Astyanax mexicanus: one gene and its partners. The main gene of each other region encodes a partner of the protein of the gene in region 2 in a complex. Links are inferred from orthologs where the notes say so. Each region holds a gene or a part of one and is shown on either strand. Other genes may lie near its edges.

What was found.
Region 1: lsm4 (region 2) and lsm5 share a complex: the UniProt entries of both Homo sapiens proteins name them as parts of the precatalytic spliceosome. The link is inferred for Astyanax mexicanus from reciprocal best matches to the Homo sapiens genes LSM4 and LSM5.
Region 3: lsm4 (region 2) and txnl4a share a complex: the UniProt entries of both Homo sapiens proteins name them as parts of the precatalytic spliceosome. The link is inferred for Astyanax mexicanus from reciprocal best matches to the Homo sapiens genes LSM4 and TXNL4A.
Region 4: lsm4 (region 2) and ppih share a complex: the UniProt entries of both Homo sapiens proteins name them as parts of the U4/U6-U5 tri-snRNP complex. The link is inferred for Astyanax mexicanus from reciprocal best matches to the Homo sapiens genes LSM4 and PPIH.

The regions. Positions count from the first base shown.
Region 1 is NC_064422.1:19,671,016-19,679,037, forward strand, and holds the start of lsm5 (U6 snRNA-associated Sm-like protein LSm5), read right to left. Parts: upstream 3,214-8,022; 5' UTR 3,102-3,213; coding exon 3,056-3,101; intron 1,499-3,055; coding exon 1,403-1,498; intron 1,279-1,402; coding exon 1,251-1,278; intron 1-1,250. Other genes in the region: late secretory pathway protein AVL9 homolog, read right to left, coding at 6,399-6,517, 7,334-7,422, 7,700-7,753. UniProt on the Homo sapiens protein: Plays a role in pre-mRNA splicing as component of the U4/U6-U5 tri-snRNP complex that is involved in spliceosome assembly, and as component of the precatalytic spliceosome (spliceosome B complex).
Region 2 is NC_064423.1:19,609,804-19,617,799, forward strand, and holds lsm4 (U6 snRNA-associated Sm-like protein LSm4), read left to right. Parts: upstream 1-4,928; 5' UTR 4,929-5,089; coding exon 5,090-5,092; intron 5,093-6,200; coding exon 6,201-6,242; intron 6,243-6,475; coding exon 6,476-6,574; intron 6,575-6,668; coding exon 6,669-6,852; intron 6,853-6,970; coding exon 6,971-7,071; 3' UTR 7,072-7,557; downstream 7,558-7,996. Other genes in the region: probable ATP-dependent RNA helicase DDX49, read left to right, coding at 525-648, 801-886, 1,057-1,178, 1,300-1,487, 2,423-2,563, 2,668-2,743, 2,857-2,933, 3,041-3,138 and 4 more. UniProt on the Homo sapiens protein: Plays a role in pre-mRNA splicing as component of the U4/U6-U5 tri-snRNP complex that is involved in spliceosome assembly, and as component of the precatalytic spliceosome (spliceosome B complex).
Region 3 is NC_064410.1:755,339-763,421, forward strand, and holds the start of txnl4a (thioredoxin-like protein 4A), read left to right. Parts: upstream 1-4,873; 5' UTR 4,874-5,008; intron 5,009-6,188; 5' UTR 6,189-6,210; coding exon 6,211-6,363; intron 6,364-6,509; coding exon 6,510-6,613; intron 6,614-8,083. Other genes in the region: adnp2b (activity-dependent neuroprotector homeobox protein 2b), read left to right, coding at 1-2,723. UniProt on the Homo sapiens protein: Plays a role in pre-mRNA splicing as component of the U5 snRNP and U4/U6-U5 tri-snRNP complexes that are involved in spliceosome assembly, and as component of the precatalytic spliceosome (spliceosome B complex).
Region 4 is NC_064419.1:17,954,964-17,962,932, forward strand, and holds the start of ppih (peptidyl-prolyl cis-trans isomerase H), read left to right. Parts: upstream 1-4,707; 5' UTR 4,708-4,824; coding exon 4,825-4,890; intron 4,891-7,969. Other genes in the region: exosc10 (exosome component 10), read left to right, coding at 112-176, 296-357, 460-490. UniProt on the Homo sapiens protein: PPIase that catalyzes the cis-trans isomerization of proline imidic peptide bonds in oligopeptides and may therefore assist protein folding. Participates in pre-mRNA splicing.

The DNA of each region.
Region 1 (8,022 bases), on a different chromosome or scaffold from region 2:
TGGATAAAATCTAATCAGTCGATATCAATATGCATCACAATATAAATCAAATTTCTTTTTACTTTTTACTTTTCTTTTTAAGTAAAACAATAAGAAAGAAAATATATCCAAAATGTCTGTATTATCACCCAGACCTAACTGTAACATAATAAATAGCATAATACAGGAAGATGGCAAAATCTTGCAATATTACAAAAACATAAATAATTCATATAATTCATACTGAATACAGAAACTTTAAAGGACATTTAATCACAGGGTCATATGTGGAGGCATAATCAGGTATTTAGGTCACTTAGCAGATACATTTGATAAGAAGCTTTTAAAGATTAACAACTTCCTCATTTTTAATGGCAGAAGAGCAATTAGATTTGTTCACAAGAGGCAGTGTAATGTAGAGAGAGAGCAGCATACTGATATTGGTAAATGGTTGATGCACAAAATTGGAAGTTGCCAGCAGATAGATTCCTTCATGACAGTCATGAAGGAACGGTCAGTAGTAGCTGAAAGATCTACTCAGTGGTAACAGCTACGAATGTTGGATGGAGCAGGGCAGAGTCTAGCTAGCAAACTTTCACCGTTCCACCTTAAATGGTGCAACAGATGGCAGGGGCTGCAGCATTTAAGGTGGAATGAAAAGATAAATTAAAGCTAATTTTAGCTCCCCATCACAGAGGAATAAAGGAATTGACAATAATAATTAATTTCTGCACTACCTCCCTTTTTAAAGACATACAATGCCCTAAAGTTACCTAGCTAGCCAACAGCTAGGTTACTGAACTTTAGCGCACCTGATGACGGTTGTACCAATTCTTAGGGGGAGAATTTTACCCCTTTCTCTTGTAACTCTGCTCCAAGGGAAAGGGTTACACTTGAAAAGAAAGGGGAAGGGGAAGTGGTAGGGCCAATGGGTAAAATGGGATTAGGCTGATTGGTTCATATGCTGTTAGGATATCAGTAATGCTGTTGTGAGTACAATCCTATGAACTTGGAGGGAAGTGGGGGCCAGACATTACTGCTCAGCTTCTGGTGGTGTTGTAGACCTAATTCAGCAAAACACTAATGACTCATGTGAGCTTGCAATGTAGTGGATGACTGGTGTACTGTTTGAAGTAGGATCTTGTAATTTGAAAATAATAACGATGATAATAATGAATAAATCATGCTGGATTTTGTTATCTTCCTGCATCACAGTACTTATCATCCTGTTTTGGTGTCTGTATAATAATAATAAAAAAATGAATACTTACAATTCTGTTACATCCTCAAGTACCATGTCTGAATTAATTAGTAAAGGAAGCAAGTGTAAGTACAGTCTGTGTACATTTAATGTGTTCATATTGCTGCTGCAAATGCAAGACAGAAACGATCACACGGAAAATAAAAAGCTGTAAAAGGATACTGACAAAGTCATCAAAACCCAGTAAGGTACCCACAATCTCTTTGTCATTTTTCATAACAATATGAATTCGGGAGCCGATACATTTGTCCACCAGCTCTGAAAAAGAAAATGAACAGAACAGTGTGTGTGGTTATAAAGATGTATAACATTTATAAGTATTTATCATTTATCAGATGTAAAACATTTTTTCAATATTGTGACCACCTTGCTGAAAATTCAAGCATGATGCTAGCTTTAGCTGGCAGCTGTTTAGATGGGTTTTACTGTTCATCCAGGCAAAAACATGGCCTATGCATGATCAGCAGTGTATATATTTTATTCTGATCATGTTTAGTCATGCTGGAATTGCTGGTCAACCAGTAGAGTTGAGACAGTGTGATAATGCTCGTAAAGCAGCGAAACCATCAAATTCATAAGATTGGAAACGTACCCTGTGCTGGTCAACAGCAAGCCTGGTCAACCAGCTAACATCAGGTAATTCAAAGGTGTATTAATCACTGGTATAGACCAGAACATTATAGAACGACTTGAATGAATAAAAATGTAAATAGTCCTATAAAATAACTGTCCTATCAAATCCCCCTGAGTCTTTTTATTTTATAAATGTTTTTATTTCCAACACCATTAGCACTTTTTTGGTGGGACATATTTTATTCAAATTCTCAAGAATAAGTGAGATATATATTATTCTTATTCAATTTTACCTACATTAATTAAATATGTCTTGCTTGTATTCATTTCTTATAGCCTAAGTAATTTATTTATTAATTATTAAAAGAAGGGGTGCGCCAAATCCTATCGCATGCAATAACATCGCAAAAAAATGTGACAAAACTCTCTCTCTCACACACACACACAAATAATAATAATAATAATAATAATAATAATAATAATAATAATCATGATAAAGTCAAGTATTCTTGAAAGCATTTTTATGTTATTATGGGTATTAGTATTTTTTTTGTTTATTTCTACTGAATGTAACAACCTGATATTTAAACTGAATATATAAATAAGATTATTATTACTAACATTATTTTGTTAATTTATTTTTTATTTAAAATGTTGTGATACGTAATGACAGGAATATTATTATTTGTGGGGAGCACCTTTCACATAAAAACATTAATTGAGAGTGTAAAAGAGCTTCAATTATTCAAAAGATTCAATGTCAACCAACATTTTATCAATAATTATACTGATGCCTTTGTGTACTCGGGAAATGTTGATGTTTAATTAAGGCTAAATTTTGTTTATTTCATTAATATCAATAAAATACTTAATGCAACAAAAACAACGTTTATTTAATATTCTATTCATTAACCTGCACTGTTCACTCATTAGAGGTGGGTAACCCAGGTGCAGAAATTGAAAATCCACCCCAGAGTTTTGCTGTGTTTTTCAGCTGCAGCTCAGCAACAGTCTGAGCCGCACAGGCAGCTGAGACAAAACCCTGGGATGGATTTTAACTTTCTGGACCTGGGTTACCCACCTCTATCTCTCAGTGAAGAGATCAGAGCCCACTTACACCCTATACAGCTTTTATACACCAGCAAATGCGTATCAGACCATAATCTGAACCCCTTCTGCTGATATTACTCTCTCTAACCCGCTGTTTCTGTCTCTAATCTGATATAATTAAACATTTCATACCGAGAGGAAGGAGCTGGGACGGGTTTGAAGCCGCTGTTGCCGCCATTTTGCAAACAATCTGAACCCGAACTAAACCAGAACTACTGTTAGAGAATCTGAGGAGGGACCCCTGCTGGCGGGGTTAAAACATCTCAGAAACACAGCCTGCGTCTGGATACGGGGGTTAAAATCTTCTTAAAGCTTGATTTTTGAGCTTGAAGCAACCATACAAAAAAACATACAAACTCATAGATAGTTACAGAACTCACAAACACAATATAACGTTAGCTAACACGACAGAAACCCATGTAACTTAACTACTTTACTGTTCTAATATCTACAGTACCAGCATAAAGTTTGGACACTCTTCTCATTTTGTATTTTTATTTATTTATTTATTCTACATTGCATATTAACATTAAAGGCATAAAACAAATCAGGAACACATATGACAAATATGTAGTTTAAAAAAAACTAAACCTAAATCTGTCCTTAAAGTTAAATGTGGTAATCTTGTAGTCATTTCTTATAGCCTAACATGTTCTTGCCATGTAGAAAGGGACAATAAAAAATAATAAATAATTATTGTGCATGAGTTTCTGTTTAGCTTTAATGTCTTCAATATTAAATTTGCAATGTAAAAATCATAAAAAGAAGGAAAACACATCGAATGAGAAGGGGTGGTATAATTATGCTTTTTCTTGAATTTGATTTATTTTTTATGTGTTTTTTTTTCACAAGACCTTATGGCCACAAAGGCATATTTGGGGAGTATATACAGTATCATTATGGCATAAGGCTCAGTATGTTTTTAAAAGCCTTGACAGGTTTAACTAGATTTTAGAGCTCTGGCTTTATGAATGATTTGTTCATACCTAATATTACAGCACGTTTAATGTCAGAGTGGTTTGTGTGATTGTAAAACAAAAAAACATGCCAAAATGATAAAAGAAGTTAAACTGAATTAAATATAAGAATGTAAATAAACAGTCTGAACACTTATTATTAATAACAATATTAAACTCAGCATTTCGTTCTGTGCTTTTGTATTGGTGAGGGGTACTCTAAAACTAAAGCTTCCAGTAAAACTACAAACCTCAAAAAGAAGTCAATGTCTGCAAAATTCTACTGTAAACATTTATACACGAACAGTGTATGTATATATATATATATATATATATATATATATATATATATATTTTTTTTTATACAGCACAGCTTGTACATGTTTATTCCTCTCATGTGCACCATAAAGAGATACAAATCATTAATCCAAAAAATAAGGTCTTCAAAAGTATTTTATTTAATAGATGGAACTCAATGATGTGTAAATATTGTAGATCACCAAAAAAATAAACAGCATCTGCATCATTAGTTCATTTTTGATATATCTCTAAATACCTCAATATAAAGTGAAAAGCAATTTAAGGACATTAATAAATAAACCGCTCCAACACAGAGAAGAGAGAAAATGGAACAAAATTTCACAAAAAAAAAAAAAAAAAACAATATGGTGCATTATTTATAGTTTAAAAATCAAGGATATGGGCCCTTTAAACACTAACCAGAAATCACTCTACATTTAAACACAAAGAACAACAATAAAATTGATCATGTCATCCCATTAGATATGACCATTATTTTACAATAATAGCACAAACGAACAGAAAATGAGAAAACAGAAACAGATATAAAAGATGTGTTTTTGGTGTTAATAACCAATATGAGAGAGACAAAAGAAGGGAAAATGGTTTAATTAATTTAAAATGCCATATTAAATAAGGCCATTAGGTACGTACTGGTTCACTTAGCCTAGAAGGGAAGCCTTGTACGAGTTCACAAGGATTGTTCAAACACAATCTGTGTGTGTGTTTTGAGACATCTAAACACAAGCTAATGACACAGAAACTAGATACATATACATGAGAGCACAGCAGCCATATTCCATTTTATACGTTTTAAACATGTTCCGAGGAAAACAAACAGGATAACCAGCCCAGAAAATGGTCAAAACCAACCAACCAAACAAATTAACACTTAAATAGTCTATGGTGAGACTTTACATTATATTATAGTATATACTCTGTTTATTATATAACAATTTCACACATACATTTATGTTCTGCTTTCTTAACTATTCATATATTTTTTAAAACTGCAGGTTGGAATGGGCCAGCTCTGTTGACTCAAGGCCACAGTGCTGCAGGGTTTTAGAGTTTTACATCATTAAAGACACTTGAGTCAACTCATCAGCTAAACAGAAGAGTTTTTTCATTGAAAGGCATTGAATATACAGCCCTTGAAAAAATGAGACCACTTAAAAATGATGAGTTTTTTTTTTATTTGACCAACTGGAATATAATCAAGAGGAAGATGGATGATCACAAGCCATCAAACCAAGCTGAACTGCTTACATATTTGCACCAGGAGTGGCATAAAGTTATCCAAAAGTAGTGTGTAAGACTGGTGGAGGAGAACATGCCAATATGCATGAAAACTGTGATTAAGAACCAGGGTTATTCCACCAAATATTGATTTCTGAACTTATTTGGGAGAAATGTTGTATATAGTTTATAGAATAAAAGAACAATGTTCATTTTACTCAAACATATACCTATAAATAAATATACCTATAATCAGAGAAAATTATTTAGAAACTGAAGTGGTCTCTTAATTTTTACAGAGCTGTTTGGGCTTTTAAATCCTAGCCTCAGAAATGGACTGTGAGTGTAAGAAGCTGTGAGTGTAAGAAACTGCCTATACAGTTTCTAAAACCTTGGTAATGGTTATATGAGAGCAAATCTCTGAGTTCTCAGTTCCATGTGTGTTGTTTTTAATAGTTTGATGTCATTTTTAGGCTACAAATGTAAAATCCCTTCTTTCTTTGAGTCAATGCGACTAAACCTGAGACTGTCAAAAGTACTTCATTTAAAACACAAGCAAAAGAATCAGCATAATCCACACTGCCCTTTTGTCTCAGTGACAGTGTTACTATTTCCACTCATCTTATGTCAAATACGATGTTAATATTTCTGATAATGATTTGTAGCTCTGTAGAATATTTAAATAATTCTGGATTGCTAAAGGCAACAAGCTTCAGTACTTAATTATTTTGGTTAGACATGATGATGCTTAAAGATGGCTAAAGGAAGTAGGAAGTGTACTGGACAAATTCTAAATCATTTCGAGACTGAATACTTTGAAGCTGAACAGTAGAACTGCTTCTAACATTGATTCTCTGACCTAAAAGATGAAGAAAGGTAAAAGTAAACTTATGCTGTGATCATAAAAATACAGTAAACCATCCAGAACCATAAGTGTGAAGATGAATCCTGGTGAACAGTGTGAATGAGGCATGAAGAGGTCACTGTTTGTTTGCTGTAGAGTCTGAAGGTGGATTGGTCACTGGGGGCGGGGCCAGTGTGGAGAACCAGGAGGACATGGCAGATTTAGCGTTGGTGAAAACTCCGCCCACTGACTGACCTGGGCAGGGGAAATGTACACATATATTCATAAATAATCTGAAAATTGTGCACATAAATTTGTAGTACAGTTGAAAATATTAAAAGCAATGTTTTAGATGAAGCATTTTGTGGCAGATAAATCTAGAACAAGATTTTATCATAATTCTAAAACAAATATTACAGTGTACTAGGGTAGGCTATATGGCCATAAAAAAATAATCACAATATTTTTAGGAAATTTTTACACTTGCAATATTTTTTTTGACGATATGATTTAAAAAAAAATTCAAACACACACTACTACAACAAAATAAACATTAAAGATTTACTTAGAATAAATATACAGTTTTATAAATTAAATGTAATATAAATACATCTATTTCATAGACTTACCAAACTATTAAATGTAAATACAGAAAGCACAAGCAAAACAAATACCAATTAGTTTAAGAATATTACTATTATATAATAACTAGAATATAACTCCTATCACGATATGATTATTTTTTTTGTTGTGTCAAAATATTTGGAGATATTTTTGTATACAAAACTATTGAAAATAGAAAAAGCAATACTATAATTATATAGAATTGGTCAAATTGGGAAAATAAAAATTTTAGTTAGTAGTAGTAGTAGCAGTACCAGTAGTAGTAGCAGTACCAGTATTTGTCTCATAATACTAAAAGATAATTACAGTATATTATTAACTTGGCATTCTTGTTGTTTACACTATTTACTCTTATGTGCAACCCTTTCCAATCTCCATTGTTAAATAAACAAACAAACTAAATTATTTTGTGTGTGTATGTGTGTGTGTGTCCTTAGTCATACATACCTACAGCTTTTCCAGTCTGCACCACACTGCGGCTGGTGGTCATCACAGCGTTCCCAAGCTTTTTTCCCCGCTCACTGTTCTGCACTGAACTAGAACAAAAACACACTCAAATTACTTTCACTGATTAATACTACCTATTTTTAAGTCGTACTACTTATTTAAAGCATATTATTTACCCTCCCCACAACAACGAGCTACACAACTCTTCAGGCTGCACTAGTACTCTACATACTCAAACATCAAAAAGTCACTTTACTCACTTTCTATAGGAGTCAATTTTTACATACTAAAATAATGCAAAGTAGCAGAGTTAAAAATAAAGTTACAGAAGTTTAAGAGTTTAAGACGTTTGAGTCCAGAACTTACTGTGACAAGCGCAGCTTCACATCAGCCACACTATACTGTCCCTGGAATGGATGACTGATAGGAAAGAGGAGACATTTACATCAATAACATAATAACTAACATTTCTTCACATAAGGCAAAAGTAAGTTTAGCATTTGTAGTCAAATTTGTGCCAAAAAATATATAAATGGATATACATATACAGCTCTGGAAAAAATTAAGAGACCACTTTAGTTTCTGAATCAATTTCTCTGATTTTGCTATTTATAGGTTTATGTTTCAGTAGAATAAACATTTCTCTCAAATTCCAAATAAAAATATTGCAATTTAGAGCATTTATTTGC
Region 2 (7,996 bases):
CAAAAAATGTCCACATTCTCTTTGCCAATGCAAAACTGCTTATACTGCCATTGGTTTGTTTGGTGTGTGACGATAAACTCGGGCTGACGTCTTTTTGGGATTAAAGTTCCCTTTTTCTTGTAAAGTAGCTAATTTGTAGAAGGTTTTTATGTGACCGTGACTCCATACAAATGACAATACATTTAACTGTACTACTAGACAATCTTGACTATCCTGTTTATCAAAACCTTTGCAATATCTTTATGTTAACATGCTTTACTGGCCTTTTCTTTTAAATACTTGATGCGGTCATTCACTTCGCAAGGTGCAAGCAGGGTTTAAATAGCTCTGATCAAAACCCTTTATGTGGTCAATATTTGGCTGAAATGCCCTGATTCACTGACAAACTGAAAACGTTTTATGGCCACTACTTTGTAAATCATATATACAGTTACTGAGTAATCAGAGTTGCTTAATTGCCACTGTTTTTAAAGGACCACAATATTATTAAAGGGCCATAGTAACTTTGTTTCTGTTTTCTGCAGGTCGGGATTGTATGGGCTGTGCGAAAACTGGAAGCGGCAAAACGGCAGCTTTTGTTTTACCAGTGCTTCAGAAACTGGCGGAGGATCCCTATGGAATCTTCTGCTTGGTGTTGACACCCACAAGGTTGGCTGCCGCTATACAAGCTTTTAGAGAGAGTTTTTAATAAGAATGGAAAAACAGGAATATTACATGACTATAATTATTGCATATTGATTATATGTGCTTATGCTATATGTGTTTTTCTTCTCTTTCTTCTCTTCTTCTCTTCTCTTTAGGGAACTGGCCTACCAGATAGCTGAACAGTTCCGGGCACTAGGGAAACCACTGGGTTTGAGAGACTGCATCATAGTTGGGGGAATGGGTATGACTGCATATTGAAATAATGCATGACATTGAAAATAATAAAGCTACCACAGTTAGCTGGGAAATAAAATTAAAGCCCTGTTGTATCTATTTATTGTCCTTATTAATGTATTTTGTAATAATTTTGAAAGAGTTTGTAAGAAAGACTTTTTTTTCCCCCCCCAAAAGACATGGTGGCCCAGGGTCTGGAGCTGTCTAAAAAGCCACACATTGTTGTTGCCACTCCGGGGAGATTAGCAGATCACATTCGGAGTTCTGACACATTCAACATGAAGAGAATCAAATTTTTGGTAAGATCCACACTCATGAATGCATTTGTGCAGTTTTTCTATTAAAAATGGAATGTGGCAATTGTTCCATGTAAATGAAAATATGTGTTTATTGATTTGTTGTTAAAACATCTTTCTTAAGATCTTGGATGAAGCAGATCGTTTGCTTGAGCAGGGATGCACAGACTTCACCAAGGACCTGGAAGTTATTATCAGTGTTGTGCCAGCAAAACGGCAAACGCTGTTGTTCAGCGCCACACTAACGGACACACTGCAGGAGCTAAAAACCATTGCTATGAATGAGCCTTTCTTCTGGGAGAACAAGTCAGAGTAAGGAATCACATTCACAAAGTTAATCAGGAGAATTTTCTTCTAATGTTGTTAGAATGCTTCCTGCCAAAGGAAATATAAACCTAAATTCAAAGATTTCTGTAATTAATGCTTAGATATTTAAATATTACATTACATTACATTACATTTCATTTGGCAGACGCTTTTGTCCAAAGCGACTTACAATAATGAAGTACAAAAGTAATAGGAATTTAGATAACCCATTTTTAGATAGGGCTTAAAGGAGGTCGAAGGGAAATAAAGGGATAGAGAAGTGAAGGAGGGGAAGAAGGAAATGGGGTTAGAAGTAGTTAGTTTGTTAGAGGTGTTAGGAGAGTAAGTGCTCTTTGAAGAGCTCTGTCTTCAGGAGTCTCTTAAAGATAGCGAGAGATTCTCCTGATCTGGTAGTGGAAATATCTAACATATATAATTTTACTTGATTGTATATAATATAAACATACTGTATCATTTCAAATTGTTTTCTATAATATCCCTCATGTTCAACCAAATATTTGTCTAGAAAACACAGTTTAGGTAGTGTTATGTATCATTTGTTACCTGAAAATAAGCTGTAATACTAATGCCTGTAGTAGTGAGAATAGTGTCTGCCTCACTGCCACCCTGGGCTTGCCACAGTGGTTTCTGCATTATGTAATTATGGTGCAGTGGGCAGGACAATATTTGTGACAGTTGTGTAATGCTGCAGTACCTATGTAATAAGTGGTATTGCTCTGTTCCATATGTTTTCAAAGAACAAATAAGGAAATATGGCATGAGAGGCAGCTTAAAGTGCAGAATACACTTTCTGACTTTAGGTGGATTCCAGAAACAAGAAATACAAATTCTCGTTTATTGCTACTTTAACTTCTGTCAGTAGTTACATTTCCAACGAGCATAAATTGATACAAATATTATTTATGCATTTCTCTCTCTAGGGTCCGAACAGTGGATGAGCTTGATCAAAGATACATCCTTACACCTGAGAAAGTCAAAGATGCTTACTTGGTGCATCTTATTCAGAAAATCCAAGATGAACATGATGACTGGTCAGTCATGATTTTCACCAACACATGCAAGTAAGTTCTCCTATTTAATATGTATGGGTATTTAAAACTGAAGGTTTTGCAAACTGCAAGTATTTAATTTAATTTGAGATTTTATTGATTTTTTTCCTTTTTAGAAATTGCCAAATTCTTACAATGATGCTTCGTGAATTTAAATTTCCCGCAATCTCCCTGCATTCCATGATGAAACAGGTATAGCAGATATATGCATTGTATTATACACTAATAAGGATATTTATAGTATGTTTAATATTAATGTTTTTATATGAATGTATTTAAGTCATTGGTACTTTTGTATTATTTAGAGACAACGATTTGCAAACCTTGCCAAGTTCAAGTCCAATGTTTTCAAGATCCTGATAGCCACAGATGTTGCTGCCAGGTACTTTTTGACCCTGAGTGCTATTAAATTTGTCTGTTTTTAATTAACTTATCGATAATATATCTAAAATGTCAATAAAACTGTGTTTGTTTAATTATTTTTTTCAGGGGTCTGGATATTCCTACAGTGCAGGTTGTCATTAATCATAATACTCCAGGACTGCCTAAAATCTACATTCATAGAGTGGGCAGGACTGCCCGTGCCGGTGTGTATGTTTTTTCCTCCAGGATTAGTCCAATGTTTGGTTTTGCATTAAAAAGCAGTCCTTAATTGATGTATTTTGGATTTCAGGAAGAAATGGTGTTTCAATTACACTGGTCACACAGTATGACATTCATCTGGTCAATGCTATTGAGGAGCAGATCCGTAAGTGCACAGTTAAAGCAATACGTTTTTTGTCTGTTCAATTATTTTCATATGAATCAGTATTACATAGACATACTAAGTAAAGCCAATCTCTGCTGAGTATTTAAAAGTAAAGTATTTAGCAAATTTGGACACATAGTAGCGATCCTTTTTTTAAGCTATTACAGAAAAGCATTTATGCACAGCCTTTGCATAGAGTTTTAGTTATTTAAATGTTTTGAAATAGGGACTACAAAGTGCAGATGCTCTATATATTTTTGACACCTGCATGTGGATATCTGCTTTTCTTTTTTTTAGAGACCAAGCTAAAGGAGTACCCAGTGGAAGAGAAGGAGGTGCTAAAGATCCTTACCCAAGTGAATGTGACGCGACGACAGTGTGAAATTGTATGTTATTTTTCTTTTCTTTTTTCTTTTTTTACACATGTGAGTCAAATCAATGATGAATAAATGTTAAAGCTGTATTTATTTGTTGTTTGCAGAAATTGGAGTCAACAGACTTTGGGGAGAAAAAGGAAATAAACAAAAAGAAGAAAATGATCCTAGAAGGGAAAGTAAGTAGGCTCTAACTACTGTTAGTGAAATGGAAGGATACCGTTTTGTGAACAAAGAGCTGATATTTCCACACTATATGGTATAATAATGTGAAAACAGGTTGTCAGCAAATGCTTTCGTTTTTAATGCTGTTTTTGTGGGTTTTTTTCCGCAGGATCCTGACTTTGAAGAGAAGAGAAAAAATGAACTTGCTAAAAGAAAAAAGGGAAAAGCAGAAGGAAAGGGGAGAATTCAGGAAATTATTCATCAGAAGAAGAAAGGAAAGCTTGTTAAAAAGAAAGGAAAGAAAACCAAAGCCACACTTCCCAGACAGTCATAAATCTGCATGTTTAGCATTGACCGCTGTACATTTTTGTGCATATGTGAATAAATGGATCATTTTTTGCAAAGGTTTAATTTGTATTAAATGTATTTTTTAATTAACATTTTGTAAATGTTTACTTGTTGACACAATAAATTGCCATTAATTAAAAGGATGTAGTGTGAATTAGAAATTATTTTAGTTTCCTTTCCACACCTTGACGAGATTCTGCAAGAAAGCACAGCCATTGCCTAAATTACCTGGATATTGTAGGTAGAGCTGATAAGGGTGATGTAAAGGGGAGGTAAAAATATATGTATGGGTGCATAATGACAAAAGAGTAGATTTTTATACAAAACAAAGTGTACATTACGAGGTTCTTTGATTTTACCTAATTGAACATAGCTGGAATATAACAGAGGAAAATAGATGATCACAAGCCGAGCTGAACTGCTTGAATTTTTGCACCAGAAGTGGTAATAAAGTTATCCAAAAGCTGTGTGTATGACTGGTGGAGGAGAACATGCCAAGATGCCAGACAACTGATTAAAACCAGGGTTATTTCACCGAAAATTGACATTTTTATTTCGAATTTGGGAGAAATGTTGTCCGTAGTTTATATGAAAAACAATCATGTTCATTTTGCTCTAACATATCCCTATAAATTGCAAAATCAGAGAAACTGATTCTGAAACTGAAGTGGTCTGCTAATTTTTCCAGAGCTGCATATTTATCCTGACCGACTTTATTGAGCTTTTATTTTGAAGTTTGCCGGAAAGCGCATTAATAACCCGGATGAAGCCTAGTGGCGCTGGCAGAGTATGATGCTTGAGCCGCTTTTTGTTGAACTGAAACTTATAACAGATTATTTTCCTTTAGTTACTGCGGTTTAATTTATAATTTATATAACTATATAGTTCGTTCAGCCTGCCGACATGGTAAGTACATACTCTCATTTAGCTGCACAGTTAATTTACACCATCCGCCGGCACTGCACCGCTGCTCCAGTAGCTTAGCTAGGTTAGCTTAGCATAGTTAACTTAGCGAGTCGCCGTTCAGTAACATGAGCTAAAGCGTACTGAGCTCTCCGTTTTTACAGGATTCAAACCAGCTTCTTAAATTAACCATGATAATCGAGAAACAGGTTCTGCAGATGTTAATGTTTACATATAATGCGAATGCCACTGTATTTAGCTAAGCTACATAGGTTAGCTACCAGCTGTAAACTGCAGGCTAAAATAAACTCTCTGTGAGCGCTGGAGTGGAGGTAAAGATTCGTCAATGTTGTGGATACTGAATATATATATATATATATTATATTATATTATATTATATTATATTATATTATATTATATGAATAATATATTATAATATAATATAATATTATATTATATTAATAGCTTAAATGTTTTCCTTTTAATGAAAACTACCACTCCTGCTTAATTAACCTTTCCAAAGTGTACTTTGGTTCTCAGACACCTGGCAATATGCAAATCAGTCAATACCACACCATCCCTGCTGACGTCTGCAGGGCACACTGCTGCTCAGCCAATCAGCTCTCTCTCCTGCCCTGTTTCTAAACCCATACATCACCCAATGCCCCTTAACTACCCCCAGCTTTAGCTGAGGGTTGAGTCAGCAAAAATCAGGGGGCCCCTTTGATGAAAACCCCAGTTTCAACATCAAATGCAATATTTCCGACAGGACTAGAACGCAGCATAAGTGCATTAGTGGGGTGTATTAAGTGGTTCACAGTTTTCATTTTTGTAAATTATGTGGTAAGGATTTTTTATTTGCAAGTACTGTAATATAATTTGAGTTTGAGGCAGCATTGCATTCTAGCTGTTGTAATATGTTGCACATAGCTGTTTCAGTACCATAACCATCTGAAGGTCTCACTATTAGTCCTATTGATTTTAATTTATTGCAGTGCAGAATATTGAAAAATGTAATGTTTTTCAACATATTTTGACTAGAATTTTTTTTGTTTTTACAAAAATGTTTATCTTACTGTTAGCAAAGAGTAAATTGTTTTTTTTCTTACAGCTTCCGCTATCTTTACTGAAAACAGCACAAAACCACCCAATGGTATGTACCAAATAGATTTTTATATGTAATAGTCTGTTATAACCTAAAAACATGTGTCTAGCCTTTGTTTAGCCTGACTGCATGTACTTGAAATGCTAAGCACTTTTAAACAAGGAAAGGAAAAATTGTTTTTCTGGGTTGCATGAGATTACTAAATGTTCTAAATGTTATTTAGAAAAGTATTGTTTGTATAGTATTGTTGGCTATATGTGTAATGTGTTTTTTATTTCTAGCTAGTGGAGCTGAAGAATGGGGAGACGTACAACGGTCATCTGGTCAGCTGTGACAATTGGATGAACATTAATTTACGAGAAGTCATCTGTACCTCAAGGGTAAGTAGAGTCAACAGTTAATTAGGTATACCAAACTCATGGGTCAGGTTATGTACAGTTTTTTTATTAGTGTTTGTACATTTGTTTTATGCAGGATGGAGATAAGTTCTGGAGGATGCCTGAATGCTACATCCGAGGAAGCACGATCAAATACTTGCGAATCCCTGATGAAATCATTGACATGGTTAAAGAGGAGGTTCTCTCTAAAGGCCGTGGCAGGGGTGGCATGCAGCAGAACAAACAGCAGGGAAAGGGCAGAGGAGGCGGTGCTGGCCGAGGTAAACAGAAATGGCTATATGGCCCAAAAAATGTTAGAAGAATTGCTGTTGGTCAACAATTGAGTACAAAATAATTTAGCATTTGTACAGTGGATGTAAGTGTAATTTGTTTTCTCAGGTGTGTTCGGGGGCCGTGGAAGAGGGATGCCAGGCACTGGCCGTGGACAGCAGCAAGACAAAAAGCCTGGTAAACCACAGGGAGTCAAAAACCAGCACTGAACACACAGTATCATTTTCTTTTTTTGTCTTTCGCTGTAGTTTGTTGCTCTTACCCGACGACTTCCGTCTAACTTCTCATCGCATTGCAGAACCCACAGTCTGATTTTAATGCAGCAGTTTTCTTTTTGGTACAGATCCGTATAAAAGATACTTTTGCATCACATGTATCATGGGGGTTTTCTTTAGACAATAAAAATGTTAGTTTCTTCGTAGTTCATGTGATATGCAAACAAGAAGATTTTCAGGTTTCAACGCCTTTCACAGGCATTCATTATAGAAAATAATTTTGTTTAAATTGAATTTGAGTTTGGGATGCCGTAGATGTTTCAGATTTTAAGTTCATCACTTCATACACAAAATGGCATCCTTTTTGTCACAGTAACTAGTCTTGGTTTAAGTGTTTTGGTTTCCGGTTTTACCACCTGATTTGTCTGTTTTCATATGATATGCAGTGGACTTAAGATGTCAATAAACATTTTTTGTTAAGTTTTGTTTATGATACTTTATTGGCTGAAAGAATGAAATTTTTAATGCCGCGTATACATATTAGGATCCTGAAAGCATGATGCAAAGCACTATGATGCAAACAAAGGTATTTAGAGCAGTTTGATGTGAAATGCAGCATTCTAAGAAACTGTCTAGTCAGAAATTGTAAAAACGATCTAGACATTCCCACCTTTTCAATTGTGTTCAAGTGTTGGCAAATGTTTTCTGTAGCTACATATAGGTATTATTTATGGTTTATTTTGGGTTTTGACCAATGGCTGCCTGTAGTTCATATGTTCATGTAGTTCATATCATAGGCTTTAGATGAATTTAAACTATTTAAGTTTAAGTAAATACTAGTTTATAGTTTACTTTATTTGTATTGAAATATATGAATAATGTCCTCTTTGTATTGAATATTGAAGTAAAATGAACTTAA
Region 3 (8,083 bases), on a different chromosome or scaffold from region 2:
GCCCGTTTATCGCCCACCCTAAGGTGATCGCCAAGCACTATAAACTGTTCCACGCTGAACCACCGAAACCAGAGTATGAACCAGTACCACAACAACAACAACAACAACAGTTGCCCACTAAAGCTATAGGGAGTCATATTTTCCAGTGCAGAAAATGTCCCTTTAACGATACTCTCCTGTACAGCATGAAGAAACATGTTCTCATTAATCATTACACCTCCCTGTTAAATCGCTTTGCCGCACAAAGGACTGAAAGTGAACTGCACGCTCTTGGGCCGATGTACCAGAAGTTTTTCTGTAAGGTCTGTGGTGCAAATGCAGAGACTTCTGAGCACTTGCTCTATCATATTCTAACTTCTGAAAAGCACAAGGAGTTGGAATTTCACATCAACGTACTCATTTTCGAGACTGACAACAAGAAAATGTTTCCCGCTCTTGCGCCGAAAGCGCAAGGTAGTCCCGTTATCGCAGGACCGACCAGCCAACCGATAGTGACTCCTGTTCCACCTCCAGGAGCGGTAATGCCGGGAGTCACAAACGGGGGTCCTAGACTGTACAGCCCCCCCGGGCAGAACCCAGCTGTTCTTCCCGCTCAAGCTTCAGCCCTCGTTCAGCTTGCCAGTGCTGAAGCAAAGGGTTTGCTGCAACCTGGCCAGCCAATGAATCTGCATAACGTCCAAGCTGCAAGAGCTGGACCTGCCACGGTACCTGTCATGGGAGGCATGGCACCTCCGCCTGCAATGCATCCGGTTATGCCACACCAGCAGCTACCAGTCAGGTTGGGAGTGCCTGGTCAGATGCAGCCTCCTTCCCGTCAAGTTCTGGTCCCGCCAGGAATGCAGTTCAACGTGCCATCTGTAAGAGGACCTCCACCACCACCACCAACACCGCAATCGTTGATTGTATCTCCACGGTTCCCTGTGAACCAGCCAACTCCTAGGGGCACCATGTTGACATCACAGTCTCTCCTAAGTCATCTGATTCCCACGGGCAACAAAGTGGACGGCCTACCTACCTACACTCTTGCGCCACTGCATGTTTTGTCTGTCCGGCCAAATAACATGCAAATGGCCAACAACGCGCCGTTGCCTGTGCCGCATCATGTCCCCACACTTCAGCACAACGCCTTGGCCAGCAATGGCTCCCAGGACTCCAAGCAAACCAAGAGATGGGTCACCTGTCCTGTTTGTAATGAGCTTTTCCCATCCAGCATATACGAATCCCACGTCGAGGTCCATAAAGAGGCGTCCAAGAAGACCAAGCTAGGCCTAGCCGCCCGAGCACCCTTCTTGAAGAAGATGCCAGACAAGACTGTGAAATGTCTGATGTGCAAGATCTTGCTCTCTGAAAAAGGACTTTTTGAACATCTGCTTCACGGCCTGAACTGCCTGTACTGTTCAGGGATGTTCTATTCTCTCAAGCAGCTGGTTGCGCACATCCAAATGGATCACAATCCCAACCAAAAGGCGAACTGTGACTTCATGAGGCGAGAGTATCGTCTTTACACTGACGAAAGTGGCAGCCTCCTGTTCCCTTACTTTGACATCAACACCACAGCGCCAAAGGAGATGATGGGAGAAAAGGAGCTTAACTTGGCTCTAGTCACCAACTCCCTTGATTTGATATTCTTGAAGATGCTGCCTGCAAGTCCTCAGCAAGTGTGCAAGATGCCCATGCCAAAACCAGACAGTTTAGACTGTGTTTTCTGTTCTGAAAAGCAGCTGAACATGGAGTGTTATCAGCTTCACCTCCGAGAGAAGCACTACATTGTACCTACCCTTCATGCTATACTCAAATCCCCGGCATACAAGTGCGTCTACTGTGGTGGAGTGTACACGGGGAAAACTACAGAGAAGGCAATCTCCGTCCACATATCCAAGTGTCGCTCTGCGCCCAAGACCCCTAGAGATGCCGAGAGGATAATGAGTTCTGGTCTAGCCGTTGCGCCCAGAGGAAGCCAAGGGCTGCTCTCGTTTCCTCCACCTCCAAGACAGTCTTCGATTCAAGTTCCAGCTCCAGTCCAAGCCTCGGTCCCTGCGATCCAGTCCCCGCATACAGCCGCGGAACTGCAGAGCAAGTTGAGGCTGGAGCTAGCCGTGAAGGAGGCCATAGCGGCAAACAAGAAAGAAAGAGAGGCCAGGCTAGCAAGGAAAAGGAAGTTGGAGAGAGACAGGTTAGCAGGTTTGACTCCTCCGTCGCCTGATATGCAGGTTGATCCTTCAGTGCAGTTCGCTTTGGACCCTGCTGGAATGGATATACGGTCATTTGAAGATCGGAGGGATTTTGTGAACAAGTACTTCAACAAACAGCCCTATCCGCTCAAGAAGGAGATTATCGCCTTGAGTAATCGCCTACTGCTGAACAAAACCGACATCGCCTGCCAGATCGGATCGAAGCGCACCAGATGCATGAAGCACCTGCAGAAAAACAGAGCCGCCGTGCTTTTAGGTTTCAAAATGACGGAGTTGTTGAAACTGAAGCACGACCTGGTTATTCCCCAGATTGAGCCGGAGAAGACCTCTGCAGACACAGAACCAGAATCCCCGGGTTCAGAATCCGCGGGATCAGAACCTCTGGAATCGGAAACCCAAGACCCAGATTACATGGAACCAGAAAGCCCGGAAGCACAAACGCCAGACCCAGAAAACATGGAACAAGACACCCCGGGAGCTGAAACCCCAGAACAAAATGGTCAGAGCGAAGAGGCCCGAGAGGTTGACTAGTTTTGTTTTGTTTTTCTTTTAAAGATGAATAAATAATTCAGAAACAGGAACAAATGGAGTGGGAGACTCCTCAAAACAATGCAAAAACAAGGTATATTGTATTAAAGGTAGATCAGTTCTCACAGGACCACGTTCATTTCCTTAGAAATCTGTGTAGACTCCTTTTTCTTGGAAGTAAACTTAAATAATAAGTTGAACTTACAGTGCATCTGGACTTATATGCTGTTCAGTAATATTAGTTTTAGTAGTCATTCTACACAGTACTGTTAAAACTTTGAGAAATGTTTTCCCATTACATTCAGACAACTCACATGTTTTACAGTGTGTTTATTACTTTTGCCTTCACTTTGTTTCTGTTCGTTCTTGTTTGTTTGTTGGTTTGTTTTTTACATTTTAGCATATTATCAACTTTTTATACCTGGATATTAATATAAAACTGAGGCGCATTTAGTTAAAGCGCTTTCATAGTAGTGTAGTTCAACGTATTTAAGAAGTTACCCGTTTTCTTTCCTGTACGGTTCCAGTATTCTGTTTAAGTGCTTCCTCATTTATTCTGTGCCTACATGATATGTCAGTATGGTATGTCAGTGTGTGTTACTTTACATAGAATTGTGCCTAAACATGAGTTTCCCTTTCAGCCTCCTTCTATCATGGTCTCTTACTCTCTTACTTCGTGGGTCTCTGGATCGGGATGATTTGAAACATTGGGATAGCGATAAGTCCTTTTAAATAAAGGCTTGGCCCTGAAATTGGTAGCTTACTACACCACTGTACAAGTTTCAGTAAACTGTTTCATTTCTCTGGCCTACCAGCCCTGAGGTACCACTCTGTTGTAAGCATGGCGGTCTGTTGTTTCATTGCCATTTGTAAGCATGGTTCATGAGCATTTGGTTTTTGTAATAGTGGAATGTAAGACTGTTAAAAGATTTAACATATTTGCTCACAACTTGATTTCAAGCTTATCTCTTTAAAAAACAAGGCAGATTGCATAGTGGAGCATTTGTAAGGGCACTATGTAAGAAAGAATGCAAAATAAAGTTACACCTTGAAACACTGTATGTGCTGTTAATGTCTGCTTTATTTTAAAACATTTTATTTAATATTTTGACTTCATACATCAATGCATAAGACATTTCTCAATAGTAATCATTTTGTATGGTTCGTTGTTCGTAAAAGTTTGATTCAGTATAAAAGACAACTGTGCGTAATACATAGGGGCAATTCTTTGAGATGGGTGATTTTAAGCTCATATAATATTTTCATCTGATAGTTTTAATTAGATAAGCCTTTGACCTTTTAATTTTTATCCAAAATGATGCATTTCCTTTAAGATTTTTTAGGCTTTTATATGTTTTCTGACTGTCCTGTAAATTATACACAAAGTCCAATAAACATTTACCTTGTGTTTCTTAAATATTAATATAAATTTGTCCAATATCGGGGTGTAATTCAGTGTGAAAAGTAGCCCTAATTCCACATTTAGCATCACAGGGTATTTGACTCATTGTTTTCCCCTAAACAATTGTTATCTATATTTTATTTATATAACTTGGTTGAAATACGTGATTGAAACACCTGAGTACCATGATTTAGGTGGGTGATAGAATTCTTCTCGCAATATAGACAATACAGGTGCATCTCAAAAAATCAGAATATCATTGAAAACTTTGCTCTATACTTTAATACTTCCTTTATTTCAGCAATTCAGTTCAATCTGCTGGTGTTGATCCACTGTGTTTTATTATCAAGTCTAAAGTCTTGTTTTGTTAAAGTCAGTTTTGTTTCCCCACAAAATCTTACAGCACTTCATATCTTACAGCTTCCCTCTGCTGACGATAACTTTCATGGAGATGCTGATTTCATTTTCCAGCAGGACTTGGCACACTGCTAAATGCACCAATCATTCTTGTATAATATTAACATTTTCTGAGACACTGCTTTTTTTGGGTTTTCATTGGCTTCAAGCCATAATTATCAACAATAAAAGAAAATAAACGTTTAAAATATATCACTCTGTGTTTAATACATCTATATAATATATGAGTTTCACATTTTGAACTGAATTACTGAAATAAAGTTACTTTTAATAATATTCTATTTCATTGAGACGCACCGGTATAGTGTACCCACGTTACGTGAGTACGCGCCTCCGTGCGCACGTGTGTGTCGTCACTTCCGTATCCTGCTCAGTCCGCGAAGAGCTCCGGCGGATGGGGGAGGTCTGATAGAGGCAGAGAACAGCAGCACAAATAAACACAAACTACACTGATTTCCTCTTACTGAAGGTAATATTCACGTTACTCATCTGTTTTACTGTACATTGTCCCTTTTAAATCTGTTTTTACTTACTTAAATCTTTACTTTTACTCTGTAAACGGGTTTAGATACCCAGACTAGTAGTAAGCAAACTACTTAGCTTAGCATAGCTGCCTGGAGTGTTCCAGAAATTTTAAGAAGCTGATATCTAAACTAAGCTAAACTCGGTTATCTAGCCTCTATTTAAAGTAGAGAATATAAAGTATAATCATGAATATACACTGTAACTGTGATTTATATTGAAAATAATTAATGCCTGATTAAAAAGCTAAAACACAACCGAGGAAAAAATGTAAATACAATCCACCAGCTGCATTATGCAGCTGTATTTACCAAAATTAAATGATCACTATTGCATTACATTTCACTGCTTTTCATCTCTTTATTAAAAATCAATACACAAAAAATTACATTTACAAAACCAAATACTGTTGCATTTAATCACTAATGTCAGGAAAACGAGCCGCAATTAAAAGTAGTTAGTCAGGAAACTCTAAAACACAGCTCACCGGAGTCACTAAATCATATTTCTTTTTCTTTTTATTCATCTAATTTTCTGTTTTTACCTTTTAGACTTTTAATTTGTTTTATTTATTTTATTAATTTTGTCTTTATATTTGTTGTTTTCCTTGTTTTACCTTTGGCCTTTAAGCTTTTTAATATCATTTATTTAATATATTTTATTATTCTAATCGTTTATCTCTTAATTTTATTGCTTTACATTTTAGCCTGTGCACTTATCCTTTTATTCAGTTTATTTGTATTTCTTCTTAATTAAATCTTATCTTGTTTTTCTAAAGCTTTTATAATTTCATTTTGATTTTGTTTGACGTTACTTATTTTAGGTCACATGATTAAATTCTTGCTTTTAATTTCTATTTAAATGTAAATTACCCTCAATCTGTTACTGCGTGAAAATAACGGTTAAATGATTCATAGTTAAAAGATCCGGTTACACCAATTTTAACTAAGCCCCCTAATTTTAGCCAACTCCACCCTCATGTGCAGTAGTGAGGGGTAGTTTGGAAAGGACAATGTGATGTATGGGTTTAGGGGTAGAAGTGAGAGCTGATTGGATTAAAAACTATTGATCTACAACATAACAGCACACATTCTGAACCATCATTCGTCTTTCTTGTGTTACTTTAGGGAAAATATTTTTTGAGCCAAGATGTCGTACATGCTTCCACATCTCCACAACGGCTGGCAAGTGGACCAGGCCATTCTGTCCGAGGAGGACCGTGTGCTCGTCATCCGATTTGGTCACGATTGGGACCCCACGTGCATGAAAATGGACGAGGTTTTGTACAGTATTGCTGAAAAGGTGACTACATGCTTGTTTATCTAAAATAATCATTACTTTGCTTTTGCTCCCAATTTTGCTTTTGTATCTTACTAAAAATGGGTAGATTTCTGTACTGTAGAATTTGTAATTTGTCTCATTCTGTCTTTTCTCCTGTGTAATCCCAGGTCAAAAATTTTGCCGTCATTTACCTGGTGGATATCACTGAAGTGCCAGACTTTAACAAGATGTACGAGTTGTATGACCCTTGTACGGTCATGTTCTTTTTCAGGTGAGTGTTTGCCATATGAGTCTGATCCTTTTAATTTATCAGTGTAAAACACTACACAGCTATTTAAAAATATCTCTCTAGTAATCTCTCTTCTTTTGTCTTCTCTTGATTGCATCCTTTTTTTTGAGACAATGTTGTGAATTTCAGAACACAAAGCTTAAAATGAGCTTAATCAGAGTGTATTAGCTGTAGTAATCCTTTTTAAATACATCATCAGGGTTTACATGAACCACACCACATATAAATGAAGGTTGAGGCTGTGTAAATTTTAGATTTTACCCACATGCATTTACACCTGATAGCCTTCAGTTAGTCAGAAGGCTAAGAAATAAAAGTGACACTGTGTAAACAGGATTATAGTGTGGTTCAAATGGTCGGACTAAATACATGAAAAGTATATATTATAAACTAGTGCTGTATTATATGAGGATAAATATTGTGGGGACGATAAAGTGTTTATCGTGCTATCCCTATCGTTTTTCTACAGTAATTTCATCGATTATTCATGCAAATTAGGGTTGGGCGGGTTTTCAAAGTGTTTCATACTGTCATACGTAGGCCAACAATAACAAAATTTTCAGGACGATATATTGTCCCAGAAATTATTGCGATAAACGATAATATCGTCATTTTAAAGCACCACTATAGATTTTATTTTTTGTTTCCTGCTTCTGGGCTCCCAAAGGTGCTTTAAGACAATGTGCCACACTAATAATATACTAGCATAATACTATTACACCATTTTACAGATAAACTAACTTTAAATTATTAAGTGCAGACATTGGGCTCCCAATATAAAAATATTTTAATATCCTAAATAAACAAATAAAGTACACCCACCCTGGGTTCTGAAAAAACTGCACTAAATATTAAACCCTTATTGTAAAAAATAAATTAACAACAAATAGATTAATGTAACATTTACATTAATTATTAAAAAAAAAAACTCTGAACACACGGGCACTTGCAGATTCCTTTTTCTGATCATATATGTATTTATGCAGTAAAACACACATTAGCTTTGTGCATATGATCAAAGACACACAGATAGCTCATCAGGCCAGAGCTTTAGCTAGAAATGTATTTTTTAATGTAACTGTCAGACAAATTCTGAGCAAGAAACACCAGCATGTTTACCGTGTGGGGCTTGAGGCAGGATCTCTCTGGGGGAACAATTTTTATATTCAGTATTCAGCTGGATGGTTGTGCTTTAAATAAGATCTCAGGTTAGTGGCTTTTGTTTCCACTGTTGTGAAACAAATAAACATACCGGCTGATTCGTGCTGATGGTTCTCCTCGCTCATTTGGCTTAAAGCCAAAATACTCCTGCAATACTCCCGCACCGGAGCCGCGGAATACAGTTTTAAAACACAGCCAATCCCGGACTAAACTTCCTCAAATGTTCTGTGAAGCTGTTTAGTTTTGAGAGTGCAATAATTTCACTAGAGCTGTCACGCTGCCGCGGCTCCT
Region 4 (7,969 bases), on a different chromosome or scaffold from region 2:
CAAAAAGCCCAGCTTATTGAGTTTCCTCTCTTCCAGGTGTGTGTCTGTTTTTAAGCTGTGTGTGTTTGTGTATTAAGCCACGGTTTTACTTATTTTTGCTTTGTTCTGCAGGGGGTAAACCCAATGACTCCAAACACTTTGACCCAAACAGACAGTCTAATGAATTCAGACGGAAGGTACTATTTTTTTTATTTTTATTCTACAATAATGCTATTCATCTCAGTCTATAGACTGCAGTTTAATATTCAGTTTATGAGAGGATGGAGATAAAATAAAACTGTTTATTTTTTCGTAGAAAAACCCAAGAGGACACAGGCAGGGTCCTGGAGGCAGAGGCATGCCTGCCAAGTCCGAAAGGTAATAGAATACATGGATTATTTTGCCGGATTCTTTAAATATTAAGTAGTATTAATTTATACAGCATTGTTGTATGGTATTAATACATTTGTATAATTCCAGAGGATTTCACCACAACTGGCCCAGGAGATAGAAATCTTCGCTGGACACTTGCCCTTTTAAGGGACCTTCTTCTGTCTAAATTGTTGTTGTTTTTTCTTTCCTTTTTTATGTGGGTCATTTTATTAAATTAATTATGGCTTACATGCTACATGATGCTGTACTATATGTTTTGAAAGAACTTTCATTAAATTGAAATTTTAAATGATGTTTTCTTTTTCTGATTTTGGAATTAAAGCTTATTGTGTGTGTGTATATTATAAGTATTATAATACAGATTATTGCACTTTATTGCACCTGTTAATTGAGAGCTTTTAAATTAATCTACCTTTTATATAGTATTTTATATAGAACTTATATACACTGCTCAAAAAAATAAAGGGAACACTCAAATAACACAATATAACTCCAAGTAAATCAAACTTCTGTGAAATTAAACTGTCCACTTAGGAAGCAACACTGATTGACAATCAATTTCACCTGCTGTTGTGCAAATGGAATAGACAACAGGTGGAAATTATTGGCAATTAGCAAGACACACTCAATAAAGGAGTGGTTCTGCAGGTGGGGACCACAGACCACGTCTCAGAACCTATGCTGTCTGGCTGATGTTTTGGTCAGTTTTGAATGTTGGTGGTTCTTTCACACTCGTGGTAGCATGAGACGGACTCTACAACCCCCAGAAGTGGCTCAGGTAGTGCAGCTCATCCAGGATGGCACATCAATGCGAGCTGTGGCAAGAAGGTTTGCTGTGTCTGTCAGCGTAGTGTCTAGAGGCTGGAGGCGCTACCAGGAGACAACAACCGAGCAGCAGGACCGCTACCTCCGCCTTTGTGCAAGAAGGAACAGGAGGAGCACTGCCAGAGCCCTGCAAAATGACCTCCAGCAGGCCACAAATGTGCATGTGTCTGCACAAACGGTTAGAAACCGACTCCATGAGGATGGTATGAGGGCCCGACGTCCACAGATGGGGGTTGTGCTCACAGCCCAACACCGTGCAGGACGCTTGGCATTTGCCAGAGAACACCAGGATTGGCAAATTCACCACTGGCGCCTTGTGCTCTTCACAGATGAAAGCAGGTTCATACTGAGCACATGACAGACGTGACAGAGTCTGGAGACGCCGTGGAGAGCGGTCTGCTGCCTGCAACATCCTTCAGCATGACCGGTTTGGCAGTGGGTCAGTAATGGTGTGGGGTGGCATTTCTTTGGAGGGCCGCACAGCCCTCCATGTGCTCACCAGAGGTAGCCTGACTGCCATTAGGTACCGAGATGAGATCCTCAGACCCCTTGTGAGACCATATGCTGGTGCGGTTGGCCCTGGGTTCCTCCTAATGCAGGACAATGCTAGACCTCATGTGGCTGGAGTGTGTCAGCAGTTCCTGCAAGATGAAGGCATTGAAGCTATGGACTGGCCCGCCCGTTCCCCAGACCTGAATCCGATTGAGCACATCTGGGACATCATGTCTCGCTCCATCCACCAACGTCACGTTGCACCACAGACTGTCCAGAAGTTGGCGGATGCTTTAGTCCAGGTCTGGGAGGAGATCCCTCAGGAGACCATCCGCCACCTCATCAGGAGCATGCCCAGGCGTTGTAGGGAGGTCATACAGGCACGTGTAGGCCACACACAATACTGAGCCTCATTTTGACTTGTTTTAAGGACATTACATTAAAGTTGGATCAGCCTGTAGTGTGTTTTTTCACTTTAATTTTGTGTGTGGCTCCAAATCCAGGCCTCCATTGGTTAATACATTTTATTTCCATTGATGATTTTTGTGTGATTTTGTTGTCAGCACATTCAACTTTGTACAGAACAAAGTATTCAATGAGAATATTTCATTAATTCAGATCTAGGATGTGTTATTTGAGTGTTCCCTTTATTTTTTTGAGCAGTGTAGTAAGTTGTTTCTTATTTTCTTAAATTAGAACCCTCTCAGGTTTTATTTGAAGGTAAGGAAAATATGTTGTATGTTTTTGTATGAAGAAAACTCATGGAATCAATGCCAATTACATTAAAGGGAACATTGTTTTTAAATTGATAAAATGATTAAATACGTTCGGTAAAAACTGAATGGTAAATTATGGGACCTATGCATTAACCCAGAAAAGCTCATGTGACTTATGTATCACAGACCCTTTAAAAGCTGTTCAGTATCTTACAGCAGTCTGTCTATTACTTTAACTTATGAAGTCCGTAAGTGACACAAAGTGGCTTGCAAAAGTATTCATACCCCTTTAACATTTTCTCATTTTGTCACCTTACAACCACAACCCTACATTTATTTTATTGGTTTTAAGTGATGGACCAACACAAAGTAGCACATAATTGTAAAGTCAATAAAAAATTACATTTTAATCAAATAATCTTGTTTGATGTGCAAAAGTATTCAGCCCCCCTATATTAACACTTAGTAGAGCAACCTTTCGCTGCAATTACAGCTGCACATCTTTTGAGGTATGTCTATCAGTTTTGTGCATCTAGAGACTTAGCTCAAGCTTAGTCAGGTTGGATGGAGAGCGTCGATGAACAGTAATAAACATCTCGTCACAGAAGCTCAATAGGATTTAGGTCGGGACTTTGACTGGGCCATTCTAACATATTAATATTCATTGATCTAAATCATTTCACTGTAGCTCTGGCTGAATGTTTAGGGTCACTGTCTTGCTGGAAGGTGAATCTTCTTTCCAGTCTCAAGTCTTTTGCCTCCAACAGGTTTTCTTTTTCAGGATTGCCCTGTGTTGAGCTCCATCCATCTTCCCATCAACTCTCACCAGCTTCCTTGTTCCTGCTAACAGAAGCATCCCCACATCGTGATGATGCCACCACCATGTTTAACAGTGGGGATGGTGTCAGGGCAAAGAGCAGTGTTACTTTTCTGTTACACATAGCGCTTTGCTTTTAGGCTTGTGGCAAACTTCTTATGTTTTTCTTTCAACTATGGTTTTCTTCTTGCCACTCTTTCATAAAGGCAAGATTTGTAGAGCCCCCAACTAAAAGTTGTCCTGTGGACCTGAACTGTGGATTTTTGCAGCTCCTCCACAGTGACCATGGATCTTTTAGCTGCGTCTTTGACTAGTGCTCCCCTTGCTTGATCTGTCAATTTGGGTGGACAGCCATGTCTTTGGTAGGTTTGCAGTTGTAAAATACTTTATTCCATATTTTGATGATGGATTAAACAGTGGTCCTTAGGATGCTCAAAGTAGGAGATATGTTTTTATAATCTAACTCTGCTTTAAATGTCTTCACAATTTTATCTCTGATCTGTATATTGAGTTCCATGGAGTAAAGGGGGCTGAATCCTTTTGCACATCACACTTTTCAGATTTTTATTTGACAAAATTTTGAGTGAATCATTTTTCATTCCACTTCACAATTACGTGCTACTTTGTGTTAATCTATCACCTAAAATCTTAATAAAATATGTTTGTGTGTGGTTGCAAGGTGACAAAATGTACGCCCCATAGATGACATTATTTCTGGAATAAAATGTTAAAAAAAAAATTATGACACTTATGTCATTCACATTACATCATGATTTTAACTTTACAATATTTACAGTCATCTGCCCACAATAAAAAACAAAACTATGAGCAGCTCACTAAATTTATCTGATTCAATTTTGATTGATTTGATTGGTATCAGTTTTAGATTATTATTATTATTTAGAAATTGATATGGGTAACAGGAACTATTATGTAGCTCTGGGGACTTTCCCTGTTATTTAAATAAAGTTTTAGATAAAATTTTTAGTCCTTTCACACTTTAATTCATTAATTTCTGTTGCCACATTTTTTAGTTGGTGGAAGATAATTGGTTCATTTACTTGTCAGACAACAGCCTGAGTAGTGGGAGGGGCTAGGAGTAGGAGCAGAGAGAAAGGAAGAGATTCATGGGGCACAGCTGCTAGACTCCTGCTCAAAACATGTCCAAAATGTGTCCAAAGGGACAGTTAAACCACCTGAGTGACACTTTAAAGCATCTTTCATGAGGTAAATTATGTTTCTGTGCACACACTTTTAGGTTAAATTGTAGGTAAAATTAGGAGTTAAACTATTTGTAGAAAATACACCAGAATGCAGGAAAGGGCTTCTAATTATTAAAAGGAAAATCTCTCCCCCCACGTTTAAAGTAAAAATAAAAACATGTACTGGTCATTTCTGCTTTAAATTGGGGAAAATATTAAATATACCAGCTAGTCTTGAGGCGTTACGAAAATGGTTTTCGGTTTGTCCCTCGTGGAGCCTCGTAGAAATGTCCAGTCGCGCTTGCCGTAGCGGAGCAGTTTGAAACGGGTTCCTGTGTTAGCGTGAAGGAGAGTGAAGTTTCTGTTCTGAAGTTTTTTTAACCTGCAGTTTTACTCCAGAATGAACGTTCAGCCCTCAAACCCCAACAACCCCATCGTCTTCTTCGACGTGACGATCGGAGGGCAGGTCAGTGACTCCAGCAGCCGCCCTGAGCGCGCGAACAGCGCTGCTGCTGCTACTGCTCGAGCTGTGTGAACAGTGTGTGGACAGACTGTGTGTGTGATGTAGTTGGTGCTGTAAAACGTGGTCAGATATCTGAATGGCTTTAAAAACTGAAATGAAAAGTATTAGCTGCTGTATTCAGAGTTCACATTACAAGCCACGTTGCTCAAATCCGATTCTTGCTCAGTTCAGATTCGGTGACGGTTCACATTCACAAATATAAGTGACCTGTATCTGTGCGTAATGTGAATGAATCTGTACATTGATTTGAGAAAAACGTAAACGTCGCCTTCTTCACCACCAACAAAAAACGTCATATTTGAGAGACGACTCGTAGCTTTATAAAGGTGAAATGGATGCGTTTGTCCGCAGCGCATATGTGGAGCATCTTTTGCTGGACCGTTCACATTCTTATTGCATGTCCGTGGATCGGATACGTATCCGATTTAGGATCATATATAAAATTGACTTAAATTTAATTAAAAAAAGGAAATTGGCACGTTCACACAGCTATAAAAACACTATATTTGAGTCACTTCAGTTCAGTTTTAATGTAAACGTAGCCTTATAGGAGTTCCATAGAATCACCAGCGCAAACAATGTGAATCGTTTAATATGGTCAATAAACTGGTCTTTATTTAGACTAGACTTACCTGTTCTAATACTAGAATCGTAGAGACAGTGGCTAACTTATTTATTATAATTATTAATTATATTATTATTATTATTATTATTTCATTATATTTACATTTATTTTATTTTCGATTTTTATTTAAATGACAGTTTGAATCAGTAAAAGGGAAAACAAACTCACAGTACACAAAAATACAAGGAGCAAAATTAAATATTTTTTCATGTACAAATATACCTTTAGTCTTTTTGTTAGGTCAAGGTATAAATACATGTATAAATTATTATTACTAAATAAAAAGGTCTGAGGTTTTCCATTTACAGATGAGAATGATATGTACCCAAAATTATAATGACATTAATTCTTATTCTAGTCGTATCTTAGTGTTTTCTGGTCCGCCTGCTCTCTGTAGCACATACTATCTTTCACCTGTAGATGGCGCTGTTGCGACAGTTTCAGTTGTTAATCTGAATGCATTTAAATAGGTTTGTTGACCCATTCACTCCATTATAAACTGTTTTATAAATAGATATATCAATACAATTTTAAAAATGAAGGCTGAAAAAAAAAAAATGTTAAAAATAATTACACAGCAATAAAGGGCAACATTCACTGAACCTCTTAACAAATATACAGTTAGGGCCATAAATATTTAAACAGTGACAAAATGCTCTTAATTTTGTTTCTGCATGCCACCACACTGGATTTGAACATCTGAACTGTAATTAAACTTAATTGAATTTCAGATTAAATTCAGGGGGTTAAACAAAAATATAAATATAATTTATGAACTTTACCATTAATAAAATGTAAGTTTTTTATCTTTTGTTGAGAAACATTTTCAAGCAATGACTGCCTGAACTCTGGAACCCATGAACATCACCACACACTGGGTATTTATCCTTTATGATGCTTTGCCAGGCCTTGTCCTGCAGCTGTCTTCATTTCTAGGCATCTCTTCCTTTAGCTGTCATGATAATTATCGTACATTATCATATATTTTCCTCAACAGTGCAGTTCTAATCATAAATGTGCCTCACCAGTGCGAGTCTAATCACATATTTACCTCAACTGTGAATTCAACTTAAACTAAGCATAGGTGGTGCGAAATGCTTTGTTTAATTTCATTTGTGAGTAGAGCATATAATGAACTTGAACCTGCAGTTTGTTTGCTCACTGCATTGTAAATAGCAGGTCTCTTATCAGCCCGGGGGAGGTTTTGGTGGTGTTTGGGTGTGCCGCTGCTGCTGCAAAAATCCTAAAGTAAAGAAGAAATGCTGCACCCCCATATTTAACTTACTTAAATTTGTTATATGGAAAACAAAGTAGTTTTTTTTTCTTCCTTTTTTGACCAGATCAATTAGTTTACCCAACGTTTTTTGCATCTCTTGTTATTTCCTTGTTTAAATTATTTCAGCTTACAATCACTACAGAAACTGTGGAATGGGGGGCCTGCAGGGCAGAGAAATTTCAGAGTATTCATCCCTCTGCTAGACCTGTTGAGCAGGAAATTTGGGGATGGGTTCATGAGGATGTCTCTGTTTACATCTGTAGTCAGTGTCTGTTTGATGTTCATATAACTTTTAAATACACAGTACTAGTTCCAGTATTCAAAAAACACCCCAAACTCTTACATGCTTTATAAATAAAGCATTAAAAAGTATTGGAACACCATCTTATTTAATGTTTTTTCCAAAATCCAAAAGAGAGTTTATCCTGCTTTTTCTGAAGCAACTGGCTCTTTTGTCCAGAGACGGCCTTTTACTCGATTTTTATTTTTACAATTAAGGCTTTGATTGCATTCAGTGGTAGTGAAGTCAGAATGTTGGATGATCAAAAGCACACTTAAAAACGTGTAGGCTTTTATTATATTAATATAATTGTATTATATTTATTATATCCCATTCACCTATATTGGCAAATTACTGTGTGTATGTATACAAACATAAATCAGATAAAAATTCAGTCTGTATCACTAGATCCTTATTTTTAGGTCATTCCTACACTTGTATATTAAAAACCTAATAGCATAGTAGTGCATTTATACCCTTTTAAAAAGCAGCAAATGTTTAATTAATAATAGTGTAGAAGTTATTTACATTTATTTTTTTCTGTGAAATATTTTTATTATTTAATGTCCTCAAGAACACATATTGTAAAAAGGCTAAAATATGGGCAATCTTAAGATTATGCCCCTGTATTGCAAAGTACGTTGATAATGCAAATATTTTGACAGGCTGTAAAGCATGACAAAGTTCATCTCGCCGGTTGGGTTGAGTCAGTTGGTAGACAGACGGGTGGGCCACCAGACAACTGTGATTTGTGAATCATTAGTGGTGACTTGGAACTTGATTGAGACACATTTACCCATTGTGTTTACCTCATAAATTTAAAACGAAACCCCATAAAAGA